2 linked regions of the Drosophila melanogaster genome follow. The protein of the gene in region 1 interacts with the protein of each later gene in a pairwise test. Each region holds a gene or a part of one and is shown on either strand. Other genes may lie near its edges. The genes, in order: SmE and SmF.

Region 1 (2,902 bases):
CAGGATTGCTTGCCCACTCCAACCCAATTATTGAGAACAGTCTGTAGTGCCAGATTGTCATTCTTCAGGATTTGGGATCCGGGAAACATGTTGACCGCTACAGCTAGGCGGGGCTGAAGTCTCTTATCGTTATCCATCATCTTATTGGCATGCAAAGCGGCATAGCGATATCGTTCTAGGGATAGTTCCATAGGTACAGCTCCTGTAGGTTCCACTTCCTCCGCGAAAACTTGGCTATCGATGAGAAGCAGACGCACGTGACCCATTACACCGCTTAAGTGTTGGCAGACACGAGCACGCTCCTCCTCAGTCCAATGTGCAGTGGGTTGGGTGACTCCTGCCTGGTATTTGGCCCAGGATAAAACGCAGCGCCACACTTCCTCCTCTTCCAAGCAGAACTATTGGTAGTTAACAGTTTTGGTAATTAAAGAAATTCAGTAAATTGAGTGGTTATTCATTATAAACTCTTACATAGTCTGAGGAAATAATCTTAATAATGGCATCCTTTGTTAAAGTAAGGAAGGCATTAGTCTTAACGCACTCATTTGCATTTTCCCCTATGTAGATGATGCAGCGTTCCATAAACGAGGCAGCGCATTTGGCACCTGAAATTTAAAGGGAAAGTTTAAAATTAATTCCTTGTTTTTTAAAGACACTCAACGGCTTTTACCTTGAGACAGCATCCTATTCTATATGTCCTGAAATCGGATCGTATTTGCTACCTTACCCATTAGAAACACTTGATTACAGAAAGTCTACCATTTATTTCAACATTCGTCTTCAGATATCGGCTTTACATTTATTTTACTTATATTAAGGGCGTTCAGCGTTTGCAGGTGGAATTCGAAGGATTCGCAGGATGGCCGCTGAGTCGCCTAGTCCTTCGTGGGACTGACGTTCTGTATGAGCGTGATGTTGTCGCCCTTGAGCATGATCCTCCCGAGGTTGCGGCGCTGCCGGGTCTTCACATAGACTTCCTCGGCGTCGTCCAGCACCAGATTCATGTACTCATCGAATCCCACAATGTGGCCCTCGATGCGCAGCGATATGTTCTCGTATAACCAAACTTGCACGCGGGACCGGTTCTGCAGGTAACGGAAGATCAGGTTGATGGGCTGCACCATCACCTTCTGCACCTTGGGATTTCCTTTGAACGACATTTTTGCTGATTTCCGACGACTTAATTTGAGTTAAACAAATTTTCGCTTCTTTTTGCCGGCGTCTTCTTTTCGTCCAGGCGATAGGCAGAAATATCGATGGCACAGCACAGATGGTCACACATAATCGCGGCCTACCGAACTATCGACCAGCCTAAAGATACCAAAATGGTAAATCCTCTGGTAGCATAACCATATCGATAGAAACACTATCACAATCGCACTGTTAAGTTTTTGTGGTTGGGCAGAAGTTGTTGCCATTTATTCATAGCTGAATTAAACTATAGTTTATAAAGAAAACCAAACAAATGGCTATGGCTAATGTGGACAAAGGTGAACTTATGGACCAGGTTAAGCAACAGATTGCTGTTGCGAATGCCCAGGAATTGCTCACGCAAATGACCGAAAAGTGCTTCAAAAAATGTGTCAATAAGCCGGGAACTTCCCTCGATTCGTCCGAACAGGCAAGCTATACATATCTTATTTTGCACTATAGAATATGTATTTAAATAGTATTTCATTAATATCCAATTTAGAAATGCATTTCCATGTGCATGGACCGGTTTATGGACTCGTGGAACCTCATTTCTCGGGTGTACGGCCAAAGAATACAACGTGAACAATCCAAGTTCTAAACACACGAATCGGCTTCTGCATTTTGGAGCAGCTTGGGACTAACTATATCTGCCAGCTATTGATTAGTTGTTATATCTAAAGTTTGATAATGCAATAAAAACATGCATTGCGTGTTACGTGATTCTGATAACACAACGTGCATATGTTTTTTCTTATCGATATGTGATGTGGTACAAAAAATACCAAAACTTTCAGAATGGTTAGTCTCAATACATTTGACATAGCATATTATGTAGAATGTATAAAGTGTTTTGGCGCGAATATGCAACTTCACATAATTGCTTACTTTTAAAGGTGTGATTTTCTAAAAGAGCTACTCAATATTACTAACCTGCTTTTTCGTGTATATCCATAACGGCGGTTAAAAATGTGCAGGCATTATCCACCGACAATGTCGATATAACGTGATCCTCGCAGGCAGTTCGTAGCTCAACCACACCGATATCCTGTGCCAATATCATCATTTGAAATACTTGCGAGTCCTGGAGAACCAACTGAAAAATGAATTTTGGTTATAATTTTATTATGTTAGATGTTACTAATAAGTAGTTTTCTTACCTTTGCGGTGTAAACGTACAAGATGAACTGCCTGAATAGTTCCGGATTCACGTGTGGTAATCGTATGGTGGTCGGAGTTGAAGCTCCTGGGGCTGCTGGCGATACTGTGCATCCGGGAATTCGACACACTTCACCTCTCTTCGCAGTCTTGAAGCTCTTGCACCTGAAATCGAATTGAGTGAATGGAAAGGCAAGACAAATTAATTAAGTGACCAACTGGAATACCCGGGATTCCAGCACGCAACATTGTAAGATTCCGAAAAAGGCAACCGTAGGCAATTATCTTATTCCACAGAGAAAAATTATACAGTTATTGGCATTTATAAGATTTTAAGGTATCACCAAAATTTATTAATCTCTTAAGTATTTGTTTGAAAAAACAATTTAACTTACCGAGCCATTAGCATTAATCTATGGGCATATATGCGCTCATCTCTGCCACAAATGAATACCACATCTGCACTATCCTGATCCTCGGAAAGGCGCTGCAGATCCTCGATCAACTGGGGCAGACTCATGATTGATTTTTATTATTAAGTGCGGTATTCTTG
Region 2 (3,238 bases), on another chromosome or scaffold:
TACTTGACGGACCAGCACTGGGACGGCTTTTTATCCGAAACGCTGAAAAGTGAGATCGCCGGCAAGGAAGATGTGGCTCTGGCCATAGAAGACCTATTTTGGAAAACTGATGAATCAGAAAGGTTTCCGGCATGGCGAGAATTCCTAGGCAAGAGCAAACAAGAACGCCTGTCGCTTCAGAGGGTCAGGGGAACTCCACGCAGCTAAGCATTCGGGAGTTTATGAGCGCCAAAAAGTGCCATGAGGTAAGTAAACCAACCATTTTAAATGAGAGTATTTTAGGAATTGATTAATCTCTCCGATTAGGTGGATCTAACAGCCGTTCTCGTGGACCAGCTTGTGAAGAACTCCGGTCAAGATTGCTTCATTGTAGACGCGGGCGATGGCAAAGGGTATTTATCCTCGCGCTTGGCGCTCCAGTATGGTCACCGCGTGCTCGGCATCGATGCGAACGCGGCAAACACCGAGAACGCATTGAATAGGAATCGCAAATTGCAGGTAGGCCGGGCTTACAAAATAAAGTTAGCTTTATTTCATTACGTTTGTAGACTTAGAAGTAAGGTGTGGGTGTATGTAGGTGAATCCATTGGCTAGTCGCGCATTTCGCCCTCCTCGTCGTCGTCCTCCATGCCCTTGATATACAGCACGTTGTTGCAGCGGATGAGCACCTCGCCAAGATTACCAGTCACGGAGCCCTCGATCACTTCCTCCGTGTTCGCCAGCTGCATGTTCATGTAGCCGTCGACGGAGACCAGGAAGCCCTTGTACTCCTGGCCCCACTTCAGCTTCACCAGCACCGGTTTTCCCGTCAGGCCGTTCAGGAAGGGCTTGGGGTTAATGGGCATACCAGCCGACATTCTGTTTATTTGATTTTTCCTGCCTTTTTTATAAAATATTACAACAAGCGTGCCGAAAATCGCCGGCTTTTCGCGTTTTTTTTGTGTAGTGTGACCACAGCTGCGCTGTGTAAACATACCAGAACAAGAAGAAGAATAGCATAGAAGAAGAGTATTGAAAAACCATTCAAAAGCGCCAAAATTAAAATTTTATTTAATTTCAGCGCGCTTGGAATGGCCTTACGGAACGAGCGGAGCTGCAAGTCCAGGGAATCACGCCCAAGAGACGTGGTAAAAAGTCGCCAGCCAGGGAGAGCACCAAGAGTGCGCCTGCCTTGGAAAACTACAAGACAACGGCAAAGTTTATAACCACCGAACTTAACTTTGGTGCCCTGCTGGCGGAGAATTTCACTCAGTTTAGACCGGAAGACAGTCCAAACATTTGCCTTACTGGATTGCATACCTGTGGCAACCTGGCCGCCACCTGTCTTCAGGTTTTCCACGCCCAAACGGACTGCCGGTTGCTTTGTAATGTTGGCTGCTGCTATCATTTGCTGCGGGAGCGCTATTCGCAGCAGGAGTTCTTTGGCAATAAGTCCCTGATGGAGCTGCAAACAGACTATGGATTCCCATTGAGTCAGTACCTGCGGGAGCGACAAGTGCGAATGGGTCGCAATGCGCGGATGCTGGCGGCCCAGTCAATTGAACGCACCTTGGACACCAAGGAGCTGCCTAATGTAACGCTCTACTATCGAGCTCTCTTGGAGATTCTGGTTTGCCGCCATGCGCCGGAGCTGAAAAACGAACTGCAGGTGGGCAAGGTACGGAAATTCGAGAGTTTCGAGGAGTACATTCAAAAGTGTGCCACCAAATTGGATGCTCCCTGGTTGGCAGCTGTTGAGAAAGAAGAACTTCAATCCCTGCTCCAGGAATATGCCGTGCATAAATACTTCTTGGATCTGTTCTATCTGCTGCGCATGTCCTTTGCTCCGGTGCTGGAGAGTCTAATTCTCCTGGATCGCCTGCTCTACCTCAAGGAACTTGGCTATGAACGCAGCTATCTGATAGATTTATTTGATCCCGTCATTTCGCCCAGGCATTTTGCAATTGTTTCTATAAAGCAGCAAACGCAACAATAATGAAATTCACAAATGCATCAAAAGCTTGACGAGAAAGCCGGTTGTGTTTAATTATTTATAGATTATAGCGTGCAATACTTTTCATATCGTATATGTATTGCGTTAACGCTTTTAAAAATCTAACTAAACCATAGCACACAAAAAGTAAATAAGGTTGTTAAAACTAAGAATCATTATAATAAATGTAATCATGACTTGTAATTATCTTAGAGTCCCTCTGGATTTGCTGTGGTTTGTTTGTCGTATTTTAAAGCTTTTTCCACCACACAGGTGAATTTATAAGTATGCACTTGAAATTGCTATCTCAGAACTTTTGAGACTTTCGAGTATAAAAACGCAAACAACATTTCAAATCGCCCCAAGTGCGGTGCGTAGAGCTTTAATTGTCGGTTGTGTACGCGGGTGCTCAGAATTTATAGATCCAATAAAAGTTTCCTTGAAATTGCTGGACAAACTTGTTGCGAATTAGGCCAGTTGCAAATAAATTGTGTGACTAAAAAAACCTGTATATTTTCAAAGTAAGTTATGAAATTCGGTATACAAAATTGTATATTTTAATTTGAAAAAGTGTGATATCCTTGAAAAAACCACACTTAATATGGAATTGAGGGCAACTGTGAAAATTAAGATTACTTGGTTACTGTTACTGTTACTAAAATAAATAGAGAACTGGTTTCTAAGAAATATATTTTGGACATTTGCTCTATAGAAATAGTAGTCTCATGTATAATTAATAAAGCTTAGGACGAAATCCTTGCTGGCAAATTTTTAGTGTCATATTTGCTGCCCGAAAAGATTTTCTATTTAGCTTTACAAGCAGCTTAATTGGGTGTAGATATGGCGGGAATTACTATAAGCGTATCATAAACACTCATTGTAATGCTCCCTATCATAACTAATTGTAATTCGCGTTGGAATGGAAAAGATAATGCCAGCTAAAAATAATTAAGACGGCTGATTTAATAAAATCTAGGTAAACATGGGTAGCAAAACACTCTAGATTGCATTTGAAACCATCGACCGTTTCAAATGCGATCGAGATAAGATAATGCTGAGGGCACTGGCATTTGATTAATTGTTTTAGCGATTAATTTCAGAGTGGCGATACCCATTACATCGACATCCCCAAAATGGTGTTGACCGAGGTCCTCTTTGTGGTGGTCGCCGCACTGGTGGCGCTCTACACTTGGTTCCAGCGCAACCATAGCTACTGGCAACGCAAGGGCATACCCTATATTCCGCCCACGCCGATCATTGGCAACA

Evidence for each region.
Region 2: the proteins of SmE (region 1) and SmF interact in binary tests that used the Drosophila melanogaster proteins (3 or more experiments, as listed by UniProt).

Annotation. Positions count from the first base shown.
Region 1 is NT_033779.5:7,884,184-7,887,085, forward strand, and holds SmE (small ribonucleoprotein particle protein SmE), read right to left. Parts: upstream 1,268-2,902; 5' UTR 1,161-1,267; coding exon 876-1,160; 3' UTR 747-875; downstream 1-746. Other genes in the region: CG7102 (uncharacterized protein), read right to left, coding at 1-398, 472-605, 2,125-2,287, 2,352-2,514, 2,745-2,869; CG34132 (uncharacterized protein), read left to right, coding at 1,466-1,621, 1,694-1,792. UniProt on the Drosophila melanogaster protein: Plays a role in pre-mRNA splicing as a core component of the spliceosomal U1, U2, U4 and U5 small nuclear ribonucleoproteins (snRNPs), the building blocks of the spliceosome.
Region 2 is NT_033778.4:12,183,333-12,186,570, forward strand, and holds SmF (small ribonucleoprotein particle protein SmF), read right to left. Parts: upstream 979-3,238; 5' UTR 858-978; coding exon 591-857; 3' UTR 512-590; downstream 1-511. Other genes in the region: Cyp6g1 (cytochrome P450 6g1), read left to right, coding at 3,106-3,238. UniProt on the Drosophila melanogaster protein: Plays a role in pre-mRNA splicing as a core component of the spliceosomal U1, U2, U4 and U5 small nuclear ribonucleoproteins (snRNPs), the building blocks of the spliceosome.